2 linked regions of the Drosophila melanogaster genome follow. Changing the gene in region 2 together with the main gene of any one other region gives a genetic interaction. Each region holds a gene or a part of one and is shown on either strand. Other genes may lie near its edges.

Region 1 (7,494 bases), on a different chromosome or scaffold from region 2:
ATTAAATTAAATCTTTATATGCACGTTAACGATCTAGATAACTCGTTTACACAAAACCTCTTGGGCAATTTTGAATGGCGTTGACAAGATGTTATGACTAAGTCCTTTGTTTGTCATAACCGTCACCATTCGCATTCATTGGCATGGTAGTTGACAGTATCTGGAGGTGGTGATAGGAATGTCTTACCATGCTCCACTTGCCCTTGCGTAGCGGATCCGCGGTGGCCTTCAGCTGGCGGGCGAGCAGCCCCTGGAGGCCCTCATAGTAGATGCAGGCTGAGTCGTAGTTGCCCGTCAGAGCCATGTCCCGTGCTAATTTGGCATTCTCGCATATTTCTTCAAACGTAGTCTTGGCCATTACGGTCATTCCTACGCAAGTGGTTGTCTTTTGCTTGCCACCTCGCAGTAACTGGCGATCGGAACAGGTTGTCGTCATTGTAGCCAAAAACGAGAGACAGAGATTAGTTCCAATTAAAGCGCTCGAGTGCGTGAGTTTCTCCAAGTGTTGCTGGGTGGGAAGGGGAACAATAGAACGGAAGCGACTTCGTCATTCGCTGGCTCGCCTTGCAGGTAAAAATGGAAAGTGCGCCTCCCAGCCAGAAGCGAATAAAGTGGAAAACCCGGCGACAATTGCGAATAATAGAAGATGCCAGTGGCAACGACCCAAGTGAGCTGCTAATTATAAATTATCAGGCGCACAGCCGCCGACTTGTCACCAAATTTAAACGCAACGCGCTCCGATTTTCAATTCCGCCTCCAAGGCGGGACGTGGGCCAAATGCCGATTGGAAAATGTATTAGGTAGTTATGAGCCGAATAAGGCGTTCGACCTTGTTGGCTTTGAATGATTCTTTCAACTCGACTCAAATCGTCGTATGCAAAAAAAAAAAAAAAAACAAAAAACACAATAGTAAAAACAACAAAATTAACGCTCGCACACACACACGCACACTCAGCTCAGGTTTCAGCGGCACACAACACACACTTTCGCACACACGCACACGGGCGCACAATGGGTCGAATTAATGCGATCTAAATAGAATTTGAGTTAATTGCAAGCCTCTGGACACAGCAAACTGCACTTTGCATTCGACACTTCACCGTATTTCTTATTCTTATGCTTCTTATTTTATTTCCAGCTATGTGGGGGCGTCTGCAGCTGCAGCAACCACAAGAGCAACAACAACAGCAGCGCTGACGTCTCGCCGCCGCACACCTACAATTGCAGCTGAGCAGTTCGCGGGCGACTTACGGTTATGGACATTAGTGTACTAGCTTTGTTACGCGGCGTTCCGAGCGCAAAATGAATGCGTAAACTATTTAATTCAGAGTTTAAGGTGCTGCGGTAGCTAAAATAAACTGCTGCCTGCCTGTGTTTGTAATACTAGTGATGTGCGTGCTCTGGTGATGCGGGGCTTATCGATACATCGGCGCGGACACTTGACCACCCTGTTGCGTTCCCTGTGTGCAACAGTCGGCGACTATCGATTGTTTCCAGAGCTGCTAAAAATATATTTCTAAATTTACAACGAATTACAAGAAAATAAAAAGAAAATCTCCGTATCGTGTCTATCGATTATAAATCAATATACAATATGTAAGTATATTTTCCAGTTCTAGAATTTGTCTCCGAGCCACACATTACCATCCCTGAGCGCCACTGCAATAAAAGCTATATTAATCGCTAAAACATTTGCACTACTGTAACACCAGTCTGGCATCGCTGTGATATAGATAAGGCCAGTACGACAAGTCATCGGTTATCGGTTCTTAACATTTCGGCTTAACGTGCTTAAACTCATTTAAATTTAGACACCACTCAAGCGACGGTGCCGCAATGACAACGCCCACGCGCGCCACCCTGGAAAAGGCTCTGAAAAGCGACCAGAAGCTTGTGAATTCCGCCACACAGATAGCCAAGGGCAGGTTTACACCCGCATCCGTGTCGAATGTGCCCTTCTCATAGAGATTCTTTGTTTCCTCCAGATCTGACCGCCAAGGCATATGACATATCTGCTCTGGCCGAGGCACTGGGCTTCGCCCTGTCCTCTCCGGACATGGAGGAGCGTGTGGCCGGAACCAACTTGCTCTCCGCCGTGTTGATAGCACTGCCCCAGGATCTGCTGCAAGAGCGGCAGCTGGAGTTCCTCAGCACCTTTTACATGGACCGCCTGCGCGACCATCACAACGTAATGCCAGCCATTATCGATGGAATCGACGCCCTGGTTCACATGAAAGCTCTACCGCGCGCCCAGATTCCCCAGATTCTGCAGTCATTCTTCGAGCACACCACCTGCCAGTCGCAGACGCGGAGCGACCGCACCAAGCTGTTCCACATTTTCCAGTACTTGACGGAAAACTTCCAGGACGGTGAGCCCTGATTTCATTTTAGCATGAAAGATACATTGACATTGCTTTAATCCGATTTAAACAAGTCAGTGTGCAAAAAAGTTATAATTAGATGATTTTAACTAGTCGAACAGATATTTGCGACAATCTTAGTACCTTTTATTTCCGTTATTTTTAGAAAATATTACACAATATTACAACTCAAACAAATCAATTTTCTTCCCGATACAGAGCTGCAAGCGATGGCCGGTGACTTCGTCTACGGCCTGATCAATTCCATTGACGGCGAGCGTGACCCCCGCAACCTTGACATCATTTTCAGCTTCATGCCCGAGTTCTTGTCAACGTATCCGCTGCTGCATTTGGCCGAAGAGATGTTTGAGATCTTTGCGTGTTACTTTCCAATCGACTTTAATCCCAGCAAGCAGGATCCAGCGGCCATAACCCGTGATGAATTGTCCAAGAAGTTGACTAACTGCCTGGTAGCCAACAACGAATTCGCTGAGGGCACAGTGGTACTGGCCATAGAAAAGCTGGAGAGTGAGTTGCTGGTTGCCAAACTGGACTCCATAGAACTGCTGGCAAGAAAACGTAACATTTTGAAATGCCTCTTTTTATACATGCTATTTATTGTTACAGCACCAAGCTGCCGTGAAGTTCCCGCCTTCCGTTCTGGAGCCGCACTTCGATCAGATATGGCAGGCTCTGAAAACAGAGACTTTTCCAGGAAATGACAATGAGGAGATACTGAAAGCTTCCCTTAAGGCGTTGTCTGCGCTCCTGGAGAGAGCTGCTCACATACCGGATATAAGCCACAGCTACCAGAGCTCTATTCTGGGCGTAATTCTACCGCATCTCAGCGATGTCAATCAGCGGCTCTTCCATCCTGCCACCGGGATCGCCTTAGTTTGTGTATCGGGAGATGCGCCCTATGCAGCGGACAAAATCCTCAACAGCTTTTTGCTCAAGCTGCAGGCCGCAGATGCTAGTTCTGAGCAGCGGATCAAGATCTATTACATAGTTAGCCAAGTCTATAAGCTATCTGCGTTGCGTGGCTCTCTCCAGAAATTGGACACCACGATACGCGAGTCTGTGCAGGACGATGTAATCGCCTCCCTACGCCTAATTGAACAGGAAGAGTTCGATGCCAAGAAGGAGGACTTGGAGTTGCAGAAGGCGGCCCTTTCGGTGCTTAACGAAAGTGCTCCTCTTCTCAACGAGAAACAACGCGCTTTAATTTACAAAGCTCTGGTTCAGCTTGTCAGCCATCCGTCCATCGACATCGATTTCACCACACTGACGGTTAGCCTTGGAGCCCTGCAACCGGTGGAGGTGCAGTCAAATTTCATTGATGTTTGCGTGCGAAATTTCGAGATTTTCTCCACATTTGTCAAACGAAAGATATACACAAATTTATTGCCGCTCATGCCTCAAATAGCGTTCACTCAACGCATTCTAGATTTGGTTATGACACAGACGTTTAACGATACTACTGCAGAGCCCGTCCGTTTATTGGCTCTGGAAGCATTAAACAAACTGCTCCTGCTAGCGGATCAGCGCTTTATCGTGGACGTGCAGCAGGAGTCCAATCTTCTTCACAAGCTCATCGAACTGGGCCAGAAGACCGAGGGTCTGTCTATGCAGTCGCTAGAACAGATTGCGGGCGCTTTAAGTCGTATCACGCAACAGCTCCCGCTCTCCGAACAAAGCGCTATAGTAAGCGAGTATCTTCCTGGACTCAATCTGAGTCAATCGGCTGATTTGTACATTACCAAGGGCCTGCTGGGCTACCTTCATAAAGACATAACCCTGGATGACCACTTCGAGCGGCTTCTGACCGATTTGACGCAGCTTTCGCTTAATTCGGACAACGAACAGTTGCGTGTAATCGCTCACCACCTGCTCTGTAGCATGGTCAACAAGATGGAGTCGAACCCAGCTAATCTAAGGAAGGTCAAAAAAATCACGGAGCAACTGAAGGTGGCTATTAAAAAGGGCGATGTTCGGGCGGTGGAGATCCTTGCATGGGTGGGGAAGGGCCTAGTAGTCGCAGGATTCGATGAGGCTGCCGATGTTGTTGGTGATGTATGTACTAGTATAGCCATTTTAGTTCTCTAGTTCTTATTCGTGAAATAATATTGTCTCATTAAAGCTCTCGGATCTACTAAAACATCCCAGTTTGAGCACTGCCGCTGCCTTGGGATTCGACATCATTGCCGCCGAGTACCCAGAATTGGATTTGCCTGTCGTTAAATTCCTCTACAAGCAGAAGCTTTTCCACACTATCATGGGAAAAATGGGCAGCAAACTTGCCAACTACTGTGTGCACCACTTGAAGGCTTTTGTCTACGTACTGAAAGCCACGCCACAGGCGGTTATTAAGCTAAACATTGAGCAGCTCGGTCCGCTGCTTTTCAAGAGCTTGGAGGAGCACAACGAGGCGCAGTCGCTGTGCATTGCATTGGGCATCTGTGAAAAGTTTGTGGCGCAGCAGGACACGTATTTCCAAGGGCATTTGGCCCACCTCATACCCAGCTGTCTGGAGCTGTCGAAATACAAGGCTCAGCATACCATGGTAAGTTAAACATGCACATATTATTATAAAGATTTGATAGTTAATTGAGGAGGTTTCTTAACTTGTAAAGGAAAATGTCGAACACAAAACTTAAACTCATTTTCTTTCTTATAGCAAGTGCGAATTGCGGCGCTGCAGCTGCTCTACGATGTGACAAAGTATCCTACCTTCGTCCTGTTGCCCCACAAAGTCGATGTTACTCTGGCCCTGGCCGCCGCCTTGGATGATCCCAAGCGTCTGGTGCGGAACACAGCGGTGAAGGCCAGGAATGCGTGGTACCTGGTCGGTGCGCCTAGTCCGAATTAGCAGAGAAACAACTCCGTTCTTGTTAATATTATAATCCAATAAGCACACGCACAAATTCTTCATAATTTTCTTGTTGTTTTTATTAGGGTGCGTTGAAGAATTTTTGATAAAGAATTTGGAAAAAGCAAAATTATAAAGTAAACGCGAAATTGTATGCATTTTATATTACTTAGATACATTTACGAACGTTTATGCGCAAATGTATTAAAGTTTAAGATGTTAAGAAAGAAATGCTTATTTCTTTTCTTAAAGGCACCTTTTTCTGTTTTATGACTTGAGACTCTTACAGTCGGTTACTAAAATTTGTATTTTTAAACTGTACGTGTTTATCAATACCAACTGGTAACCAATCTGAAGTGTCTGTTCAGTATGGGTGTTCGCACTGGGAACGGGCCATAAGAGCGCACTTTTGTGCACGCTGCACCACCTCGGGACATCGACGTCGTCTCATAAAGCGGCAGTCTTGAAAGAATCCCTCGTTTCTGGGAAAGCCGTGCGTGAAGTCCTGGAACGTCAGCAATCCCAGGCCCCAGATCTTGCCGCCTCGAAACTCGCCCTCGTACTTCATTCCATCGGCTCTCCAGAAGATCCCATTACCATGAAACCAGCCCTGATGAAACTCGCCTTCGTATCTGTCTTAAAAATGTGCAAAATGAATCATCATATACAATTTTCTTCACTGGATGCAAACCCTAGGTAAATTATAGCTAAACCATTTCTGATCAAGAATATATATACTAGCATTTCCTCTTACTCCCCGAGTAGTGGCTACAAGAATAGTTTTCAAGTGCTACAATATTTCGTTTAGGTTTACATCACTAATATTATTGAAACTGACTTTGCTCCATCCGCGAACCAGAGGCAGCCCACTCCTTGACTAAGACCCTCCTGGAACTGCCCATCGTAGCGGGTGCCATCGGCGAACTGCAGATGCCCGATGCCGTGCTTTTGGCCACGCTGGTTCCACTCGCCGATGTAGCGACTGGCGTCCTCGTATCGCCATCCGCCCACTTTGACCGCCCCTGCGCTGTACTGGCTTTGACCCTGGCCCTGTTGGTGGTGTCCATGCTGACCCTGCTGGTGGGGGTGCTGTTGGTGCTGGTTCTCGATTCGGGCCGTGGTCACGCCCACGCTGCTCACTGGGTAATGATTTTTACGCAATTTTGTATCTGCATCCTTTTGTCTGTGTTCACTTACTGTCATCATCGTAGTCGTCCATGGCCATTGCTCCGCTACCGCCCGCGATGCGCTTCAAGCTGCTACTGAGCTGGCTGGTTCTGCACCAGAAACACTCATTTTCTATGGCTTCCCACGGTGCGACGGCCCTGGTCTAAATCTAATTAACATATTGCACTTCTACACACTGACAAAGTGTTTGAAAATCAATCATCAAAATCACTGGGTCAAATGTTCCAGTAATTGAAGCAGTTATAAATATTTCTTAACAGCCAATAATACTCTGGCACCCATATTTAATCAAACCATTTTAATCGAATAATTTGAATACATCTCACATAAATTCAACATTTTTCTTGATCCAACCAACCATCAATCTTGACCAACTGTTGCTGCGGCCAGAGCTGTCATGGATTCAATAATAAACCCAACCAGGTTTTAATTCTTGTACAATTTATTGTTATTTTCAATTAAAGCGGAATATGTGGATGCAGACTTTTTCGTGAGATTACAGATGTCTGAAATGATTATACTATATAGGCGAAGCTTTGAAACTCAACGACTCCTTATCGTGACGGTTGAAGAACATGGAAACAGAATTAATTGTACACAAAGTTACTGGCTAAATTATTAACCTAGATATAGTCGTATGCTTGTATATAATTGGACTCAAAGCAAGTCTAGGCCAGCACAGCCGAAGTGGCCATTTCGCTGACGCCGCAAGTGTTGTCACCACGATAAACGCGATAATAGCCCTGCTCTCCCCAGCGCGGACCCCACGAGTTCTTCACAATCCAGTAGGGCAAGGTCTTGTGGAAATTGGGATAGTCGGAGACGCCATACCCCACAACTAGAACACCGTGGTCGAGGTTTTTCTTGGAGCACAGGGCCTTCCACGGATGGGAAACTCCGCCGCGATAGAACTGCATAGCATTCGCATTGATGCCTAGAGAAATGATCTGGTTAAGTGGGCTTTGGGGTTAATTTTCTGCATCGACTTACCGATCGAAATGGGACCATTGGCGAGAAGCCACTCCTGCATGGCGGTCTCATTTCCCTTCGGCAGATCCACGAAGCCGGCAACCTGAA
Region 2 (8,837 bases):
TCCCCCCTCCCCCATTCCAACTAACCACCCTACGTTTTGGCCAAATCAAACGAAATCAAATACCGGATCACAAGCCAAAGGGGTTTATGTCTTTGTCTTTGGCTCATGGCCCAGAGTTCCCGAACTCCATTCAGCTCTCGTTGAATCTGCCGATCCAATCCAATCCGATATGATCCGTTCAGCCAAGTGCCATGTACCGAGCAAATCTTTCAATGTCAATGTCAATAAGCCCAGTCAGTGCCACAGCTAGTAGCTCTCTTATTTTTTTTTTTTTATTATTATTATTTTTTTTTGTTTGGTATGGACACAACAAGAGTTACTCTCGATATCCGGCACTGCGTGTGGTTTGCATATGGGACAGAAATCGTGGCTCTCGAATCTCTGTGGTTTATGTTCTCGGATTTATGAGGCCCAGCATCGCCGGAAATCGGAATCTTCGCATTATGCGCATTTGATTGAATTTCAATCGCGGCCCAACTAACCTATGACTGATGCAATATGGCAGCCAGATTGCATTGCGCGCGATGTTAGCCAGTTCAAGGGGTTGTATTACCCGGAAACTAGATCGGGTTTACTGGCTATCAAGGGTTAGCTTTGAATTCTTCAACCAAATTGTGCGGGCATTCAGAAGAAATGAAATGGTAACAGAAACAGATAAGGATGAATCATGTTTGTGGTATTACCAAACTTTAGTAGGCTTCTGGATAAACCCCTTCTTGACGAAGATCACCAAACGTTACTAACTATATTCCAAGAACTTCGAAATGGAAAGATGCTAGTGCACTTGTGGACAATTAATCATCCAAGATATGGATTTCAAATCACAAAGCAAAAAGTCCCTTAAGTGGGAGATACTAATTTATAGCCTGGAATGGAAACCGAATTTCTACACCAACTAATTAACAACCAATTTATTTTGACTTCATCAAAACAATCCCACTATGCGTATACGCACTTTTCTCAAACCAGGAAGAGTTCCCGTTTGTGGCATTCTTCCGGAGAACTCACCGCTTCCATTGCTGGCCAGCTCCAAGTTGAGCATTTCCAGTTTCAGCTGCTGGCTGTTTTTGGAGACCGTTAGATCGGTGCCGGACGTGGCGGAGGCGGCGGAGGCTTCGCCCGTGGGGATCGTGGCAACGGCCACGGCATCTGCGGCACCCTCGCCATTTTGGCCACTGCCATTTTGCTCGCTTGTCTGGGGCTTCATGTTCGATTGATTGGAGTTGATGTTTGGCTGGGATTGGTGGACTCTGCGAGGACACGGGCTCGGAACTGTTTGAACTATGGGACTTGAGATTGGGGCTCTGAACGCGTGGCGGACTTTTGTATTTGGCGCGCTCGCTCCGAATTTATCTGCCGACTAAACCGCCTGAGATTTAGTTGTAACCTTTTTATTATGAAAAATCGAAAGTTCTGCCGCGAGAGAGAGAGAGAGAGAGAGAGGGCGAGCAATGCTCGACAGTTTTATCATTTTGCGTTAACTGTAATTGCTCTCCGGCTATTGTGGGGGCACTTTGGGCTTTGGAGCTTTTGGCTCTCGGCTCCGTTTTAAGCTCGACAGCTGATTGGTCCGAGGACTCCAGGAAATCGAAACAGAATTTGGTTACTTGTTTGGCGGTCAAGCATTTTGGATACTTTATTGGCATAACTTCTGACAGAGTAAACATATGTATTTCCAAAATATAACAATTAAGAAAGGCAAAAGTGATAAGAAGAAAACACGGCCATTAAGGAAACGTTGGTGCCTGGCTTTGGACCCCGGCTTGACAATAATTTCAATTTGATAACCCCGCTGCGACTGGACGGCATCGTAAACGGGTCATTGGCAATTATGAGGCGATAGCGTTCGTTTTACAACAACAATGCCATTTTCAGGCTAAATCGTGCATGTCAGAAATTTGTTCGGTCATCGCGGTTCATTTGGAGCCCGTTTGCGAGCCCCTGAAATTGAATTACGGCGGGCATCCAGCCAGGAAGGCGCATCATCAATTATTATGACTAAAATGCAGTTCGATTGCATGCAACGAACCATATTTTTCCACAGCCGCACTATATTATATGCCAATCATCAAAGTTACTCTATAAAATCATGATTCTTCTGGTAAGCTAGGTGTCCTAGATTTTAGGATTCGGTTAAAGTATTCATAAGTTTGGAGTTGAACTAAAACACCTAGTATATTTAAAGAAATATTTACTTTATTTTACATTGTGTTAGCATACTTTGTGTGCTAGTGTACTTCACGATCGCTTAGTTCTAAATTTGCAGCTCAACAAATCCGGATACAATCACAGGTATAGATACAAATACAACTGCAAGAGCAAAACTCGCGCTGCGCTTGCGCCCTTTCGCCGCCTTGAGCGGCCAGTTAAGTTAGTCATGCCCGCGAAATTATAAATAATATTAATTAGCCATTAATTGGACATTTACGTTCGATTTGCATGGCAGCCGAAAAACAAAAAATTTTACTTTTAAATTTTCCAGCATCGCCGTTGTGATCCGCATTTAATGGCATTCAATGTCATTAGCTGACGGCTTGTGCTGTGTTGAGTTATTCCCGGAAGGCAGTCGACAAAGAGCCGGTTGGCAGAGCACCTTCCACATCTCACAGCTCCTGCACCTCGCCGCCAACGCCCTGCTTGCCCTGAGCCTGCCGCTCCAGCTTCTCCTGCTCCATGTTCTCCAGCTGGGCGAGGGTCAGCAGCGAGATGCCCAGCTGGTCCTCACGTGTGAACGGTTGCGCCATGCGCCGCAGCCAACGACGGGCCAGCTGGACGGCCTCCTCCGTGCTCAGGTTGCAGAAGCTGTCCACCAGATGCTCTTGGATCCACTTGGGCAAACGCGACCTCTTGTCGTGGCGCGAAAAGCGCTTGTCCGCGAAGATCATGATGCCGTAGTCCGTCTTGCCGCGCAGTGCACGACCCACGCACTGGGCAGCATGACGCATGGCGTCGAAGGTCAGGAAGTCATTCTCACGTATCTGAAACTGATCCCGCAGGTAGTCCAACCGGGCCTTCAGAATACGCGACTGCGTGTACACGTAGGGGATGCCGAACATGAGCACCGCGCGACCATAATGATGGTCGAAATCCACACCCTCGGAGACCTTGCCACGCGCCACAGCCAACAGCACTGCTCCACGACCACAATCGCAGGCCTGCAAGTCGAAATGGGAGGGTTGATTGGGGTTAGTCAACTTTGCGAACAAGCGAAGGGGATAAATATCCGTTCTGTGAGCAAACATAACATTTAAAAACCACAAAATGGGAACATCATTGCGGTGAGACTGGTTGCACATGCATGCTTATCCAAATGCTCATTGGATTTTTGTCGAAAAAATGTCAAATAATTCAAGTAATATTAGATAACCCTGCGAACTAGTGGTCTGAACATGATCCAACCACCAAGGGAGCGGATCATAATGAGAGCGAGGCTGCTGTGTCAAGAACATTTGGTTAGAAGCCATAGCAATCCAGTCGTGGTTTTCTAAGAATTGAAAGCATATATGTATATTACCTTAACATAGTTCATCAGGGCGTAGCTGGTCTCGGCATTGTCCTGAGTCTCAATGAATAGAAGCTTGTAGCGAAGCAGGGTATCGACGATTCCCTGATCATACCAAGAGGCCACCACAGACTCCAAGTACAAATAGGAGGTGAAGAAGCATACAATACCGTCGGGCACTGTCTTTGCCACCTCCACCAAAAGCTGGCCATAGTTTCGAATGACGGCGGTGTCTTCTCGCGTCTCGAACTTGGACGAAATGGTCACCTGGTCGTTGCCCTTCGATACAATCTGTTTGGAATAAACATTCAGATAATTGTGATGACTGATTGTTGGATTATATAGATTAACTACCATAGGAAGAAGACACGGACGGGCTAGTGTCATGGTAAAGCTGCTCATCACCACTGGATCGAAATCGAGTATCTTCGGGTACATGTCCATGGGTGACAATGTGCCAGAAGTGATGACCACGGTTTGAAATCTCGAAAATACCGGAGCCATGGCAATGGAAGAGTCTAGGCAACTAAAGTGCAAAATGGGATTCGAAACAGTCGGCGTTTTATCGTCGAAGGGTTCTATAATGATTGTGAAGCCCTTTGTGTAGGTGGACACCAGGGTGGCAAAGTGTGTAATCTGAAAATAGAAAGAGCATTAATATCGCTTTTACCTTGTATGGAATTTGAAAGCTCACCAGTGTAAGGGCTCCATACTCCGTCAAATCACTGATCTCAAGCGTGCGCAGCAGACTGGACAGGCGCTCAGCACAAAAACGCAGAGGCTTTCTCTCTATACAAATCTTGGAGGAAATATCCTTAAGGAAGCCCGCAGGTGACTCCTGAACGACATGATGAACGCGCAGTCTTGTCTTTATATACTCGATGAATCGACGCAGAAAGCTAAGGAAATGATCGGCGTTCCTAATATTTCCGGGCACCACCTCGGTTAGGACATCGTTTGGCAGGACCGGATTGGCCAGGATCATGTCCGTGTCGCGCTGCACACTGGCATCCTTCAGACCCTGCACCATGCGCTGATACTCCTCGTTCAGACGATTTGTGTCCTCTTCGCGAATGCTGTAGATTAAGAATGTTTTTTTTGGCCATAAACCAGTCGCATATCCTGAACAACTTACTCCTGAACCAGTTTAGTTAGATGGTTCAAAGCATTCGTGCTTCGCTCCACGGTGCGTCTGTTGATCTTCACACTCATCGAATCGATGCAAACGTTGTCGATGTTGTGCGCCTCATCAAAGACCACACAGGACTCGCGGCTCATTTCCTTAGATACCACCTGGGCAATTTTCGGATCTAATAGATAGTGGTAACTGTATACCACAATGTGAGCATGGGCAATCTGGTAAAGAATGCAAGATATAGTCAAATCTAGTCTTGAAATTTTCAAACGAAAAAACTCACAGCATAGCGAGCCAAAAAGTAGGGACACCAGTTGCGCGACCGACCGTATTCCTTAAGATCATCGATGCTGTAGACGCCGACCGGCAATGTGGACTCCTTGCCTTCCAGGCTAAATCCCTCAAAGTACTGGCCTACAAGTTCGCAGTTGAAATAATGGTTACATATGGATAACAATAGTCTTACAAATGGGCGTCTCGGTGTCCATCTCGTGCCGTTCGCGAATGTAGCTGGCAGTGAGTCCGTAACATTTACCGTCCACGGCCTTGCCCTCGCGCTCCTTACTGACCTCCGGATGGATGCACATGTTCTTCCTAGAGCTGAGCACCAGACCGGTGAAGGGTGGTGGATTGGGGCAGTGGCGCTCGTAGTAAACCATCAGGTTCTGCAGCTCGGCGATCACTTTCTCGATCTCCGGAACAGTACGCGAGCAGTAGATGAGCTTGCGCACCGTTTCCGGATGCTCCACCATGTAGGCAACGATCAGGGAGAGCAGCGTGGCCGTCTTGCCCGTTCCCGAGGGCATCTCCAACAGGCAGTGGCCCTTGGCGTCCAGGCTACGCTTAAGTTCCAGCATGTAGGCATATTGTTCCGGGTAGATGTACTCGTACGGAAAGTACACCAACAGGCCGTCCACGCTGAGCCTGTGGACTGGGTTGTTAAAGGAGTACTTTCATTTATCCCGTTCTGCCACTTACTTCATTATTCGCCTATTCCGGGATAATTCACAATTCCCTGTGCCGGCAAACTATCGATGGTACTATCGAGGTATAGAATTTGTACCATCGTTATCGATGGGGCTGTGAAAAATTTGCATGGATTGAGTACAAGTTTTGATATTTTTTTGGTCAACTTCTTTTTATTTTGTAACTCTGTGAACAGCGTAAAAATATTTGATGTTAGAGCAGAAATCTTATTTTTAACTGTTTGAAAATTAATAATAACTATTTAATATCTATGCATTTTAAAACTAAAAACATCAATTTCAGTAAGCAATATCTTATAAGTTTCGTTGAACAGTGTAGTAATATTTTTAGTATTTTTTTCTAGAGCATTGTGGTTTTTTAAACCCTTCAGCGAGGGTTACATTAATATTAAATACTAAAATTTAGACCAAAGTTTAGTTGCTTCAGTTTATTTATTTATCTAAATCCCACATATTTTCATAGCATGGACGACTTAAATCCGCTGGCGGGCACGGCTCACCTCCTGGAAGAGGTTGACAGTGAGTAAATCCGAATGAAAGGAAGGCCAGTCGTTGAAAACCGGCGCATTGCAGAGAAACTGATGGTACTTTTGAGAGACGGACGGACTCTGATTGGATACCTGCGGTCCGTGGACCAGTTCGCCAACCTGGTGCTGCAACGCACCATCGAGCGGATACATGTGGGCAACGAATACGGCGACATTCCTCGCGGAGTCTTCATCATTCGCGGGGAGAATGTGGTGCTACTGGGCGAAATAGTAAGCTTTACTCGATACTTTTTCAATATGACTGATTAACACCCTTTAAATATGCGTAAAAGGACCGTGAAAAGGAGCAGAAACTGCCACTCAAAGAGATATCCGTCGATGAAATCCTGGACGCCCAGCGTAGGGAACAGGAGCAGCGGCAGGAGAAACACCGCCTAGTATCCAAGGCACTAAAGGAACGAGGCCTGGCCGTAGATGCCAACATAATCAACGAGGACTTCTGCTAAGACTCCATTTTTTCCTAAGCACAAAGTTAGATTAAGCTCAAAAGATTTTCGTCTCTTTGTATATTTGTACTGCATTAAAAAACTATGTTAAAACCTATGTACATATTGCATGCAACCTGCTTAGCCTGATCCGCCCGCACCCGACCCCTTTCCGCACTCCTCGAGCAGTATGTACTTCTCTAGAATCTGGTACATCTCCACCTTGGCCTTGATCTTGTGCACGCGCGACAGTTGGCGCAAATACGCGGCAATCGACTTGCAAAAGAAGTCGTCCTCTGTTTCGCAAGTCTTTTGGGTGATGACGGCCGTGGGATTGGGTAATTCTGGGGCGGAATGCTCTCGCTCCTGATTCGCATTGGGCGGCATACAGACCAAGTAGTTCAGATCCGCGTGGTTAGACTCAATAGGCTCAGGTGCGGACGTCGCATTCGGAGCAGCGATTTCCGGATGAATTGTGACCACCTTGACCTTTTGCTCGCACTCCGCATCCCCCAGGAACTCATCGAAGCTCTCCTGTTCGGGCTCCTGCCCATCGTCCGCCTCCACGACCACCGAATACGTCTCCGATTGTGTGGTATGAGACTCCAGCTTAGCGTCGTAGTCGTGTTGCTCCTCGCCCTCATCGTAGGCGTGCGAACCTTGCTCCTCGATCAAGGTCTCTGTGTCAATAGGCAGGCGGGTACGACGCCGTCGCTGTAAATCAACCTTCATCCACCCGGTTGGCTTTTGTTCCCGATCCCGTTCGCGTCCTCTGCGCTCGCGTCTCTTGCGCACAAAGTCCCGCAGGAAGTCCATCTTCCGAAAGAAGTCATTGTGACCAAACTCGCCGGACGGATGCAGGCGCTTCTGCTTAAGCTCCCGCGAATAGCGATCCCGCAGACACGTCCACCGTCGCCGAGCGTCTGAGATGGAGATGTTTAGCAAATCCGCCACTTTTGCCCAGTCCTCCTCTTTGCGCTGCGACAGCCGAAAGGAGGGCAGCTGGGGATCGTACAGCGACGGCGTCTCGCGGATGGTTTGTATTAGGAGGATATCCGAATCGTCCAGAGGACGGTGGTTTGAGCTCATTTTAATTTGTTTAATATATGTTTAATATTGACCAGTGTTGCCAGATGTATTGTCATCGACACAATGCTAAAAAGATCGACACCGCCGATAGCGATTATTTTTAAAAGGTAGTACATTTAAGAAGATTTGATTTCATTTAAATTTATTTAAGGTCATTTTTATTTTGTTGTCATTATTTTTTTATATGAAACTTTTGGATTCCATAATGAAAATTCTATTTCGTTTTATTTTTTATAAATATTTGGAAAATTTTTTAATACCGAAACGTTATGCACCACATACGGTCACACTGCCATTAACAGCACAATTTCCAGAAATGCCTTGAAAATGTCAACTTTACAGGTCTGGCAACGCTTCAGGCTTTAGGGCAGCCATTTTTTTCACGCTTTGTAAAAAGTTTTTTTAAAAGCCGTGGAAACCGCAGAAAGGTCGAGAAAATTGTTTTTCGCCAGTTTTAAACGATTGTGTTGACCAACCAAAGTATGCAAAACTAAATATTGTGTGTGCGTGCCGTGAGTGAACCAAGCAATTGAACATGGAAACCGTGGTTGCCTTCAACAATGAGGTAAGCTATAGATGCATTAGAAACGAGGTTCGTTATGGAGCAGCCGGCGTGGTTGCACAATGTCCGCTTGAAGTCGGTATTCGGATTGTCCAATGTGCGGGAGGTATACAGATCCTGCTGGAGGCGCAGGCAGAGCACCGAACAGCACCGCTCAGGGTTGCTTTTTGGCCAGCACCCGATAACGATAACTCCATGTCCCAGATATCCGTAAACTATAGCCGTACTGTAACATCTATATTTCTCCTTAGCTCTCCGGACTCTATGACAGCCGACCGCCCATTTCCAAAGCGAAGATGGCCGCCATCACCAAGTCGGCGATGCGGGCCATCAAGCTGTATAAGCACGTCGTCCAGAGTGTGGAGAAGTTCATCTTGAAGTGCAAGCCGGAGTACAAAGTACCCGGGCTGTATGTAATCGACTCGATAGTGCGCCAGTCGCGCCACCAGTACGGTATGGACAAGGATCTGTTCGCGCCCCGATTCCAGCGTAATCTCACGGAGACCTTTGCCAACTTGTTCCGGTGCGCTCCGGAGGACAAGAGTCGCATCATCCGGGTACTGAACCTGTGGCAGAAAAACAACGTCTTC

The links. Genes that interact genetically often act in the same process or in processes that back each other up.
Region 1: of Xpd (region 2) and Mms19, changing one suppresses a phenotype caused by changing the other (phenotypic suppression), as found in Drosophila melanogaster (one study listed by BioGRID).

What each region holds. Positions count from the first base shown.
Region 1 is NT_033777.3:5,230,806-5,238,299, forward strand, and holds Mms19 (Mms19), read left to right. Parts: upstream 1-1,737; 5' UTR 1,738-1,836; coding exon 1,837-1,921; intron 1,922-1,985; coding exon 1,986-2,369; intron 2,370-2,579; coding exon 2,580-2,929; intron 2,930-2,987; coding exon 2,988-4,433; intron 4,434-4,500; coding exon 4,501-4,923; intron 4,924-5,037; coding exon 5,038-5,229; 3' UTR 5,230-5,483; downstream 5,484-7,494. Other genes in the region: Kat60 (katanin 60), read right to left, coding at 188-508, 1,252-1,263; rtp (retinophilin), read right to left, coding at 5,594-5,861, 6,068-6,368, 6,427-6,454; CtsF (cathepsin F), read right to left, coding at 7,086-7,351, 7,408-7,494. UniProt on the Drosophila melanogaster protein: Key component of the cytosolic iron-sulfur protein assembly (CIA) complex, a multiprotein complex that mediates the incorporation of iron-sulfur cluster into apoproteins specifically involved in DNA metabolism and genomic integrity.
Region 2 is NT_033778.4:21,167,845-21,176,681, reverse strand, and holds Xpd (xeroderma pigmentosum D), read right to left. Parts: upstream 5,682-8,837; 5' UTR 5,621-5,681; coding exon 5,616-5,620; intron 5,562-5,615; coding exon 5,104-5,561; intron 5,052-5,103; coding exon 4,921-5,051; intron 4,859-4,920; coding exon 4,638-4,858; intron 4,579-4,637; coding exon 4,197-4,578; intron 4,139-4,196; coding exon 3,857-4,138; intron 3,794-3,856; coding exon 3,515-3,793; intron 3,156-3,514; coding exon 2,604-3,155; 3' UTR 2,178-2,603; downstream 1-2,177. Other genes in the region: LSm1 (uncharacterized protein), read left to right, coding at 6,088-6,142, 6,197-6,381, 6,444-6,617; hng1 (hinge1), read right to left, coding at 6,738-7,685; Isha (insulator su(Hw) mRNA adaptor), read left to right, coding at 8,221-8,250, 8,499-8,837.